2 linked regions of the Drosophila melanogaster genome follow. The protein of the gene in region 1 interacts with the protein of each later gene in a pairwise test. Each region holds a gene or a part of one and is shown on either strand. Other genes may lie near its edges.

The links.
Region 2: the proteins of slbo (region 1) and trbl interact in a two-hybrid assay, tested with the Drosophila melanogaster proteins (2 studies listed by BioGRID).

What each region holds. Positions count from the first base shown.
Region 1 is NT_033778.4:24,330,897-24,336,196, reverse strand, and holds slbo (slow border cells), read left to right. Parts: upstream 1-1,889; 5' UTR 1,890-2,426; coding exon 2,427-3,776; 3' UTR 3,777-4,675; downstream 4,676-5,300. UniProt on the Drosophila melanogaster protein: Required for the expression of gene products mediating border cell migration. Among the DNA sequences that this protein binds with high affinity is a conserved site within the promoter of its gene.
Region 2 is NT_037436.4:20,395,721-20,403,611, reverse strand, and holds trbl (tribbles), read left to right. Parts: upstream 1-2,002; 5' UTR 2,003-2,356; coding exon 2,357-3,186; intron 3,187-6,136; coding exon 6,137-6,761; 3' UTR 6,762-7,324; downstream 7,325-7,891. UniProt on the Drosophila melanogaster protein: Adapter protein that negatively regulates different signaling pathways to coordinate cell differentiation, proliferation, migration and growth.

The sequences.
Region 1 (5,300 bases):
ATGCTTTCAAGTTTTTATAAATAGGTAACTTTAGGTAAGCCTTGGACGATTCCAGTTAGCAGGAGGATAAGCAAATAAATAAATGACTTTGCTTTGCTTTAATCCCATTTAACCAGTAGTTTCTCCATAAACAATCTGATAAGATAAGGTGCACATGGATCGATCTTGCCTCATTTAAATTGCAGATTTCATCACCTTTCCCATCGATCGATATGGAATCAGTTCTTGGGTAACCAGACCGCACAATGCAATCCCCCAAGAACAATAAGGGTGCGTTGAATGCGTTTTGAAATACACCCGACCAGAAGAATATCTTTGTGGACGCACAAGGAAGCACTTTTGCACAATCTCGATGCAGTCATCGATATCGGCGATATTTCCGATTCGCTGCAATAGCTTGACTGATAAGCGAAGAAAAGTGGCTGTCCTGTCATCGACAGCGGAATACCCTCTTATCGTGCAACGGCGCACGGGGCGTATGATTAATAAAGTCCGGGTAAACAAAAGGTACATACACGAAGGCAGAAGACGGGGGCGAGAGGCGGGGCCGAAAGCAGGGGACGCACCTTCGGAAAGTAAACGACAACTTGACCCAAATTGCAGACTCGAAAACTCAGGAGAGTCAGCAGAGTGAGCAGAGTTAGCGGAGTGAGCACCAAGCAGAAGAGCGCCAATGGGGGAAAAGTGGAGAAGGCGACTTCACAAATCGCTGCATTTAAATAAACAAAACTACGAGCCGTGCTAATTTTTATGAATTTCATAACACAGTCTTAATTTTAATAAGACGTCGCTGCCTATTACGTGAAAGCTCCGCGATGCGTTGCGCTTCCACTGCGCAGTCACGCATGCGCGCCAAAAACAGGCCCCAATCCCCAAGCCCCCAATCCCCCGATCCACCAAGTAACTGCACTTCTGTGTTTTTTTTTGCTTTTCTGTATTTCTAAGGCGCAAAGCGAGTCGAAGCCCAAACACAAATCGGAGTGGGCAAGGCCCCAAAATGGGGGTCGGGGGTTACGCAGCGGAGTGCCGGTGTGTGCGGGCGTGGTGTTGTTGCTTCTCGCTGCGGCTGTGCGGCTCTTCTCCCAAAAAAAGCAAAAGCGACGGAACCGAAAATGAAAATGAAAACGAAAGCGAGAGCCAAGGAATAATGAGCGCTGGCTGCGCTGCCGACGTCGCGCGCTGCTGGTGTCTGTGCTCGCTTGAGCTTGTGTGGGTGCCTTGGGGCTCCCTTTTGTGTGACGTCACGCGATCGTGCGTTGCATTGAGTTTTATCATGAAATTCACTGCATCAGCGCATAACTAATACTGGATTCTAGGATGGGGTCTTAATTAAACAATTAATATCTAAACTAATATCTAAACTAACTTATGTGGAACATGTATAAATGTAATAAATTCTATATAAAAAATGTAATTATCCTATCAAATATGATATTAAGTTCCGGAAACTGAAGAAGTATCTCCCAGCTTCGTACCAAATGCACTTTGCTTGCATTCGTGCTTTTGGCCCGCACAGCAACCACAAGAATGGCCCAGTGAATTGCCTTGCGACGAGAGTAAAAGTGATTGGGAAAACTCTTGCTTTTTTACCTGATCGCGGCTCTCGCTCTCATCCACAGGTAGTTGCCTTTGCCTTTGCCTGGCTTACTTGTGCTTTGCCTGCTCTTGCTTTGCTTTTGCTCTGCTCGTGCTGTGCTGTGCTGCTGCCGCCTTTGCTTTGCTGTAACGGCGACGGCGACGGCAACGCTTGGGGCTTCGGTGTGGAGCGGTACGAGTGAATGTGTGTGTGTGTGTGTGTTACATGCGCTGGCCGCTCATTTTCTTTTTCTTCGGCTGCGTCGCTGCGCCAAAGACTTTTTCACTTTGCCGCGTTCGCGTTCGCGTTTTGTCACAGTTACAATTTACCACTCGTCGGCGACGGACGCGCGCTCTCCGCTGGCCAAGAAAATCCAAATCGAAGAAAAGCTCGCTCAGCTAACGGTTCTTCAGGAGCGTTTCTAACACCAGCACACGTACGTGTACGAGTACGAGAGTACTAGCCAACGGCAGTCGTCAGGCCGTCTCGTATAAAATCTGTTGCATCACTGCCGCGGCACTTCAGTCGTTCGAACGCGTGCGGCCGGAGAAGTGCAGTGTCGAGTTAACAAAGTAAACAAACTGAATAAAACATTTTGCGCTAAGAATCGGAAACATAATAAGCAATAGTACGATGCTCGGCTGCAGTGACCACCCAGGCAGCCTAAGATGAAGCATACGGAATAGCGAGCTATCCGAGTCGAACATTTCCAAAGACCCACTTCTTACCTCAGTGCAATGCTTTAGGCGCCAAACGAGCAAAAGTTTATTCCCAAATCTGAACTCTAAAAACAGCCAAAATTAACGCTCTACAAGGAATCAAGATTCTACCCTCCTTCGCGCAACTGAAAATGCTGAACATGGAGTCGCCGCAGATGTACGCCGATGCCGTTCAGACATTGGCCCAGCTGGACCTCAAGAAGGAGCCTCCCCTGCAGCAGGCCACCATTGGCCAGATCACACTGACGGCCATGTCCACGGCGCAGCAGCAGCAGCAACAACAGCAGCAGCAACAGCAGCAGCAACAGCAGCAGCAACAACAGCAGCAGCAGCAACCCCAGCAGCAGACTACCGATGCGAACAACAACACGTCGCAGGACGCGGCACTCCTGGTCAAGCAGCACGCCATGCACCAGATGCAACAGGTCGCCGCATTGGGCAGCAACAACAACCTGCTGCAGAAGCAGATGCTGCAGCAGTACTCCACTCAGACGGACCTGGACGAGCTGACCACCCAGGAGATCACGCTCGACCTGCAGCACCTGATAGACGACCAGTTCAGGGACACGGAAACGCTGGGCATCTTCAGCGACATGGTGACCAGTCCGGGCGGACTCTCGGCCACCCTGCCGCCGAGCGGAATGGTCTCGGCGGCGGCGAAGGTCCTGCAGCAGCAGACCCTGCGGAACCAGCACGGCTACGGGGGCAGGGGAGGCGGTGGCGGAGCAGGAGGCGCCCTGGCCTACATGCCGCAGCCCGTGCACGCCACCTACAACAATTCCAGCGACGAGAACAGCTCCGTGGGCTCCGACTCCAGCACGATCAAGGAGGAGCCCATCGACCCCGAGTACAGGCGGCACCTGCAGGAGGCGGCTAGCCAGCAGGCCGCCTTCATGGGCAATGGAGCAGGCCTGTACAACGGCTACGGATCGGGGGCGAATGGCTTGACCGGGGGCGGAAACCCACTCAACGGAGGCAACACCACGCCCAGCAGCAACGGGAGCAACGGCAGCACGGGCAGCAGCAACGGCAGCCAGTTCACCAACCTGACGACGGCCAACGTCCTGGCGCACCACAACCTGCCCCACCTGGCGGCCGCAGCAGGAGCACACAATCTGCTCAAGCAGCACAGCAAGCTGCACGCGCAGCAGCAGCATCAGCAGCACCAGCAACAGCAGCAGCACCGCAAGCACAGCAACAAGCATGTGGACAAGGGCACGGATGAGTACCGCAGGCGGCGGGAGCGGAACAACATAGCGGTGCGCAAGAGCCGGGAGAAGGCTAAGGTGCGCTCCCGCGAGGTGGAGGAGCGCGTGAAGAGCCTGCTCAAGGAGAAGGACGCCCTCATTCGGCAGCTTGGTGAGATGACCAACGAGCTGCAGCTACACAAGCAGATCTACATGCAGCTAATGAACCACGCCAATCCCGAAGTGAGCCGCGTCTGCCGCAGCTTCCTCAACACCAACGAACACTCGCTGTAGCCGCTGCCAGCTAAAGCCAGTGTCCTGCGAGTTCTGTGTGTGCGTGAGTGCTTGAATGCTTGAGTGCTCGTGTGTGTGTGTGTATGAGTGTGTGAGTGCTCCAGCCGTAAGTGTGTGCGTGTGAGCGAGACTCTGCTAAATCAAAGATACAAATGCTGTGTGGGTAGCTCGTAAGGTTCATTCTCCTCCTGCTCCTCATTGTCCTCTCTGGCCGTAGACGATGGAGCGGTCGCGCCAAGTTGGTGGGCCGCTGCATCGCTTGGAGACCAAACTCTTCTGCCGATCGCTGTGGCATTCCTTGTACATTTACTCTGTCCCCATTTCTTGTTATCACTGTAAAGCATATTTTTGTACTTAATTCTAATTCTTAACGACTGTAACATATATATTTCGCACGTTTTTATACATAATCTTATACATTATATCTATCATAAAGTTAAGCCAAAGAAAAATGTTAAAAATATTAATGTAAAAAAGAATAACACGCAGGAACGAAGAACGAAAATACAAACTTCAAAACCTATTAACTATTTATACATCTAATTCAAATGTGTACAGTTCTCGACGGTGTGCGGCTTCGCTCTATGCTTGATGCCACGCCCACTCCCACGCCCAGCCCTGCTTGACACACAACATTAGCAAATCTCTAGTTCGTAAGTCGGAGAATCAAGCATCGCTTTACCTGCACAATCCCCAGAGGAAAGCCTCCCGAAATCAACCAACTTGTAGCGAATTCCACGGGTTCGCTTCCGAGAGCGTAGAAGATATGAATGCTATTAATTGTAAGGCAAACGCAATGTTCTCATTTTAATTTATATATTCGTAAATTAAATATACACAAACAAAGAAAACTGTAAAGCAAATCTAAACAAATTAAATAAAATTTACCTTATACAAAGAATCGGCTTGTCGTGCGTTTTGACTAAAACCCAAATGAATTTCAGATAACTTCTTAATTTCCACAGTTCAACTACCAATCTGCAATTAGCCCTAGCCACAATTTGATGCAAAAGCCCTGCCAAAAAGTGTCTAATTAAATGTCGGCCATACTTGGGCGACAAAACGATACGCTGGGCGAAGACCAGAAAGAGACGCACCACCACCGCATTGGGAGGGCAGGGTCTTTCTTCTGTCCGCCGTCTTCTGTCTTCGCTGTCTTCGCTGTCTTCCGATGGGACAAATACGACAAGGCAATGCATTTCGGGCTGCCAGGCGCGACACTGGGCCAATTGCAGGGAGGAAGGAGGGCGAAGTGGAGGACCCCAGACAATCGCAAGGCGGCCGTGTTGACACAATTTGACAGTAAGACAAACCCGAAACGAAAAGCAAATTTATAAACGACAAAGCGAAAAAGAATTAATGCAACTCGAGAAACCGACAAATTAACGCGCCAGAGAAAGCCCAAACAAAAGCCACAGAGCCACGGAGCCAGAGAGCCAAAAAACGCATGCCGACCTGGGGCAGATAATCACTTACAGACATTTGGGCTCGGGCTAAGCCCTTTTGGTCAAAACTTTCTTTCCA
Region 2 (7,891 bases), on another chromosome or scaffold:
TCCCGTACATACACTTTTCATATCAAAATGATCAGGCCTATTTAATCGTATAAGTGAGTGCAGTGACCAGAGTGAAACATTAATTGCTTGCAAATAAGTATGTCGTATGCAAATAAAATATTTTTCAAATTCAATTTGATGTCGCCACCCCTATAATTTCCCCCCTTTTCGGTTGCATTGGTGTCACGGTACCAGTATAATTCTCGTTTCAATCTTCCTTTCGAGAAACAGATGCAAGACTTTGGAAAAGGGACGGGCGAAAAGAGAGGTTTGTTGGTGTTATTTGTTCTGTTCGCGATTTTCGCATTCGTATTTATCGGCTACTTCGTGGGAAGAAGAAGCAAAGACGGACGTTGCGTTTCAAAAAGAGCGTTACAATATGAAGAATTCAATCGAAGAGATCGGTGAAAACCAATGGACGAAATACAAGCCTGCATAAACAGTTGCGGTGAAAATATTAGTATTCAAAATCCCAGTATCCCAGAATGAAAAAATTCAAAACTAAATGAGTTATATCTAACCTACAATTGTACCAATTCTATCAACGATTTTAAAAATACATTTTTCAGGTCTTTTAGTCCAACAATTCGGTCTTAAAAATTATATTTAAAGACCCTCATTTCCAATTACTAAAGATTCGATTGCGATAGTTCCTATTATTGTGACCGCGAATGTGCTCCTGTGTATCCTCAGACGGATGTCTTTAGTGGGAAATCACCTTGCGCCAGCTGCAACTGCAACTGCATCGCATGTACAGCCCTGCACCGATGCACTATATCTGCCATATAGTGCTTAGGGGTGGAATAGTGCAGCTGACATATGTATGTAGGAATCTACCTGCGACATAATGCCGCTCGGTGGTTCTTACCTGCTCCTTGAGGATCTCGGATAACTGCCTTCTGTTGCTGTCGTAATTCCTGCGTAGCCCAGTGATCCTCGTTTCGGACAGCTGCAAAAATCATGAAATCGTCTGCACCGCGAGGTAAACAGCAAGGTAAATCCACATACACACACACAAATGAGTAATGATCTCGCACAGGAAAAAATTCAATGATCGATTTGGATCCAAGAGATTGAAGCGTTATTTGAAGATTCGAGTTTGGGAGCATTTATTTAAATTCTAGGATTTACTAGAACTATGTTTGTACATCTGAAATGTCCATCTGTGGTCATATACTTAGGGATATAAGAGATCTTAATCTGGAGTATTAAGAAGACAAATTTCTTAATTTTAAATTTGTATGTATATTAGGATATTAAAATGTTTTATGTTTTATGTTTTTTTATAATAATAGTAGTTTGCAAAGCAACTACTCAAAAACTGCACATCATCATTGAATTTGGTTTAAAAATTTCGTAACTATGGGAAAACAAATAATTTCAACCAAACTTGTAAAATATTACCTTATCAGAGCAGGAGAAAACCTTAAGTATCCAAGCCAAGAAACCACAAAAGATATTTTCGAGTTATAGAGATGGTTATACGGGTGTTTCTGCCTTCGATATCCGTACCCGTACTCAATAAAACAAAATCGAAGTTCAAGCTGACTGTACTTTCATTAATTTGATCTTAAAACTGTGGATTTTATCAGTTTACTAACCCCCTCTAATTAACTTATCGCCACGATTTATTGGTGCGCAGATTACTACGTAAAATCGTAGAAGAAAAGTTTAAGGGTTGCTGTGGGTATAGTGTTCATACAGCTACGTATTTCGAATTCAGTTGGAATCGGAATTTCAGCGTTCAGCGCAATTTTTTCAAAAATAACGATGCTCTTGTTCTTTCTCTCTCTCCCAACCATTTGGATTTCAAAAAATAACGACGCTCTCTGGTCTCCCACTTCTCTTTCCATTCCGACCGCATTGAGCTAAATTCCTGCAACGGGTGTGAGCGAGGCAGAGAAGGATCGGTGCAGTGAGAGCGAGCAAGAGGGTGCGAAAGAGAGCCGTTGTATTTCGCCGTTCTCTTCGCTTCGTGCTTCTTCCGACCGCGTGGATGGTCACATTTGAAATTCAAACTGCGGAGAAGACGGTCGCGTTCGTTTCGTTTCGCGAGTTCAGTGAGCAGCGTCCGATTTGTTTTAAAATCGCCGCATTTCGTCAGTACCCGCATTGCAAATGGCCAAACTACCGAAGTAGTAGTAGCCCTGAGTTTAAACGAGAGTTTAAATCGAATTTAATCGGAGACTAAACGGCGCGTCGCTAAATGTCAAAACAATTAACAGCCAAGTACAGCCAGGCTAAAGCGGAGTAACAAAATTAGTAAGAAGAAGCATTAGCAGAGAATAAGACGAAGAAAACGTAGCGAGAGCAAGAACTGTGATAAAGTTAAGTGAAGTGGTAAACACAAGCAAGCATGGATAACAGTAGCGGTCAAAACAGCAGAACGGCTTCGTCAGCGTCCACAAGCAAAATAGTCAACTATTCGTCACCAGTCTCGCCAGGAGTCGCAGCCGCCACCTCCTCATCCTCATCATCCAGCAGCAGCGGCATGAGTAGCAGCCAGGAGGACACCGTACTGGGATTATTTACGCCCAAAAAGGAGTTCCCCAATGCCAAGATGCTGCAGACCATCAGGGAGAAGCTAATGACGCCCGGCGGAGCCTGTGACCTTCTGGCCCTGGGCATCGCAGCGGAACCCACAGACCAGCAGCCCGTCAAGCTCATCCAACAGCGTTATCTGATCAGCGCACAGCCTAGTCACATATCGGCCGCCGTGGCTGCCAAGACTCCCGCCTCGTATCGCCACTTGGTCGATCTAACCGCCTCCAATCTGCGCTGCGTGGACATCTTCACCGGGGAGCAGTTCCTCTGCCGTATTGTAAACGAACCGTTGCATAAGGTGCAACGAGCCTACTTTCAGCTGCAGCAGCACGACGAGGAGCTACGCCGGAGCACCATCTATGGCCATCCACTGATCCGACCCGTGCACGATATCATACCGCTTACCAAGGATCGCACCTACATCCTCATTGCGCCCGTGCCCCAGGAGAGGGACTCCACGGGTGGGGTGACCGGGGTGTACGAGAACCTGCACACCTACATCCGCCACGCGAAGCGACTGTGCGAGACGGAGGCGAGGGCCATATTCCACCAGATCTGTCAGACTGTTCAGGTGTGCCACCGCAACGGGATTATCCTCAGGGACCTCAAGCTCAAGCGGTTCTACTTCATCGACGAGGCCAGGTGAGTTGCGTGTCCAGGTGACACCTTCGAAAAACCCATATACACCAATATACGCCACATATGCCTGACTTATACCAACTCAATTGCATATGGCTGGCTAGTCGGTTTATTTTGCAATTCGATGGAAACTCGTTATGAGCGAGAGATCTTGTTTGTGGTCGTGTGTTGGTGGTGCCACAATTGTTGCTCTTGTTATTGGCCCATGTTGTTGTAGTTGCTGCTGCTGCTGCTGTTGTTGCTTTTGTTTTTGTTGCTGGCGCCGTCGTTGTGGGTAACATTGAACATTTAACAAGTGTTGCAATCGAATCACCAATAGGCCAACAACAACAATTATACTGACAAACCGAATGAACGCAAGGCGTACGTATGTACAGCACAGGGTATAATGGTAGTTTCAAACTAATTTTATAAGTAAAAATATATTCCTACTATGCGAAGCATTGCAAAAATGAATGGGAATAAGATCAAAAATGTTAAATAATTTCAAAGATAAGTTTTTGAAATACACCTATTATTAAACTATTAATTAACATGGTGTATTAGCTTTGTAGCTAAAGAATTATTATTTATGTAATATCATTGAATTGCCATTCAGTGAGCAAGCATATGCCTTATTTTGCAGACCCCGACTGTATCTCTGTGTACATACTCGTACACAAGGGCCCAATGTGCCACACTGATGGCCAAAATGTTGGCTCACTCGTTTTTTCATTACACATTTCGGAAGCTAGAAATTGCCACATTTCAAGAATTGTTCAACATAGCATTTGCAATATGGTTTTGGGGTGGGGATCTGTGGGCCACGTACTCGGCGTTCGCTTGATTTGTCGATTTCCCGTGTGTGAGTTTACAGTGGATGATGAAATATTGACCCCACCTTCATCGAAAATGTATTTTCGCATATGTTAATTAACACAACTGTATCGAAAACGCGCTGTCTCCCGTTCTTATTATCTTCGAAATTGTACTGACATCAGCATGGAACGACTTGAACATTTGGTCGATTTCGTATGACTCTGCAATTAGCGCAATATCTGCTGATTTTTTCGTCATTTCGTCGTTCTGTGCCAAGTGCAAAACGGCGGAAGGAAGAAACCAACCCATAGATCTCTATCTATACTATACTTCTCTCACCTTGGCGAGAAATAAACAACAAGTGTTCAATACGACTCAAATGCGCTGCGATTACTGGCGCTCACTTCCATTCCCATTTCCATTCGAATAATACATCGCTATATAGATAAGTGCTCGCTGGGTGTACATACATACTATATGGGCTATGGGCGTGGCCATATCCATATCTACATATGTCCAACGGGGCGGCCACACACACGCACAACCAAATAACGAGCCGAATTTTTAAGGTCACAGTGCGGTGAATGTCCCTGACTCTGATCTTCTGTATTTGAACGCATTTATGTACATGCATATATGCCAGTGCCTCCCATATACAAATGCGTATGCTTATGCATGTAAAAATCTCTGGTTCATACTTTTATTTTGTCTACTCTTTTGCCGTACGTAAATACTTCCAAGGTGTTTGAGCATTTATGCGGCGCCGGTTTTCCGTATTTCGTTTCGATTCCGATTTTATTTTAACCTCTGTCGCGGGTTAATGTGTGCCAAACGTATAGAGCGAGAGAGAGAGAGAGAGGGAAAGAAGAGATCCACAAGACGCTCTTCAAAGCTCGGTTATGTCGCGCATCGAGGTCAGCAGCTGTAACTATTCTCCTCATCACATCTCCACCTGCCTTCCGTGCACTCAAAAATATAAATATTGGTTCACATAAAACCTTGATCTTAAAAGTATAATTATATATGCTTGCCTTGATCTTAAATATAAGTTTATAATGTTTCTGTATCGAATGGGGTAACTAGACGATAGAGGACACAAAAATCAAATGAAACCCGAAAACAAATGTATAGAAACATGCTCTTAATTAAGAACCGTGTTCTTTGAATATATTATTTAAATGCGCTATCTCTTTTCCCTCTTATTGATTGCCCACCTGTTGCTATCAAGTTGAAGGTAATTTGTTTCTTTCAGTGTACACTGTGATTTGTGCCGAGGAGAGGCGCGTTTTCAAAGCTTGTTTTTGTTCAGGGTCAGCTCGAGGTTTTTTTGGCCTGCTTTGTGTTTGGCTCTTTGGATGTTTGGATACCAGACCGCGGCGACCGTGTGTTTGTATATCGCTCCGTTCGCTATCGGCGGAATACCCAATGTTGGTAGTGGTGCTCGGGTCCCAGCAGAAGCGCCGTTGCAGCAACAAGTTGCGATACGTCACTCCACCTCACCTTACTACTCACGCAGCTCACACAGCGGACTCTCTTTGGATCTATGCGCTGTGCTCGCTGGCGTTTTCGTTACTTTTTTGCTTTTTGCATTCGAATGTGGGCCAATGTCAATGGAGTGGAGTGGCCCAATGGAGGGGGAGTGGAGTGGAGTGCAGGGGCGGAGGCGGCGGCGGCGGCGGCACTCGCTCATGGGTGTCGGGGGTCGCAAGCTGCGCTTTCGTCACCAATCCAAGTCAACTCAGCTCAGCTCACAATGTGCTCTCTCGGCCAATTTGCCTTTTGACTTGTCAATACGCCAACGCCAAAGACAACTACAACTGAAACTGAAGCTCCGTGGCCGATCGATTCAAGTCTCTTCGATATTGCGCTAGCTAATGGCCCCACAAAATCGGGGGTTATGCAAGTCCCAGGGATTGCACATGATGTAGAGCTCGACGATGGGTCTGATGAACGGGTACAGTTGCGATCAGAATAGTGGCAGTGCCAACTCAAGTTGCAGTCATATCTACTCTTCTTTGGCAACAATAGTTCTCAACATATTAATAGAAACGGGTAAAAAAAAGACTGTTAGTTTTATTTCTAAGAAGCATAAACATATATTTTGTACCCTATTTTGGCGGATTATTTATTCGATTTTGTCATTTGCTAATTACAGAACGAAACTGCAGTATGAATCACTGGAAGGCTCAATGATCCTCGACGGCGAGGACGATACTCTGAGCGACAAGATCGGTTGCCCACTGTACACCGCTCCAGAACTGCTGTGCCCCCAGCAAACGTACAAGGGCAAACCGGCGGACATGTGGTCGCTGGGCGTGATCCTGTACACCATGTTGGTGGGTCAGTACCCGTTCTACGAGAAGGCCAACTGCAACCTCATCACCGTCATACGCCACGGGAATGTCCAGATACCCCTGACGCTGTCTAAGTCGGTGCGATGGCTGTTGCTTTCGCTGCTGCGGAAGGATTACACGGAACGAATGACCGCCAGCCACATCTTCCTTACCCCGTGGCTGCGAGAGCAGCGCCCCTTCCACATGTACCTGCCAGTCGACGTGGAGGTGGCCGAGGACTGGAGCGATGCGGAGGAGGACGAAGGCACTGCCGCCGATGCGATGGATGATGACGAGGAAGGACTCTGTCCCTTGGGTGACAAGCACGAGTACGAGGACATTGGCGTGGAGCCATTGGACTACACGCGCTCCACGCTCCAAATGGCTCAGAATGCCAATGGGCTGTCCACGGAACCCGAACCCGATACGGATGTGGACATGGGCTGATTGGAGCTCGTGGAGTCACCCACGGGTTGCATTCTGGGACACGCTGGCGCGTTGGCTGCATCCGGCTGAATGCCGACTGATTAGCCGCCGGGACTGGGCATATCGGATGATATGACACTGTGGACATCCTGGCCTTCCGGGTCGCGCCGACTCCGACTGCGTTCCACGTCGTCTTCCTGCAGGTGGTACTGCCAACAAAGACTTAAAGCTTAGACACACAAGAACTCACTGCCTTCCAATCGCGCTGCAGCCCCGATTCGATTCGTTCAAGAATCACGCCGCTCCGCAGCCTCCTCTCTGCAACCGATTCTTCCTAAAACCTACCTATGTACAATACATTTAACATTTTAATTTTTTTGCAAACTGTTGATCTTATCAAAGGACAGTCGCCCTGATTTGCTTTTGGGCTTTAAAACACATTAGTTTCCATGTTAAAAAATGCAACGAATGCAAATTGTTATTTATTATTTAATACTTCTGTATTACGCTTTGTGTACTCTTAAAATCTTGTAAGTGAAAATTGCAAAAAAGAACATAATACATTGAAATTTGATCTCACCAAGAATAATTCGAATTTGTTTCTTTAGGGCTCTGGGGTAAAAAACGCTGTTTTTATTTATTGACACAAGATTGTAAATATTTATAAATGTGTAATTAGTCAACCAGACTATGAGCTTAACATGAAGATTCTAGATTCTCAAGAAGCGGAAGGCTACAAAAGATGAAAACAATGAGTCAGGGGAAAATACGATTTTTTGGTTCTAGATGCGTCATATTGTGTACTAGTAAAATTCAACATTTGATTAAGATCAGATAATGTTTGGTCAAAAATATGAAAACAAAACTGTCCAATCTATTTTCTTCATGAAGGAGATTAATGAATAGTTCACGTCACAAAATCGAGAATTCTCTCGAGTGTCGAAAGTCAACAAATTAGTTATTGTTGTTGCTGAGATTCCCATTACCGAGCAGCAGATTCCCAACCTGATAATGCAACCCAGTGACTGGAAGTTATCAGGTGGGCGAACGTGACTTTGGCTACGGAAATATTTGCGACTTTGCTCCACAATAGCAGTAAACTAATATTGTGAATAGCTGCTGAATGCGGAGGTCCCACCACTGTCATCTGA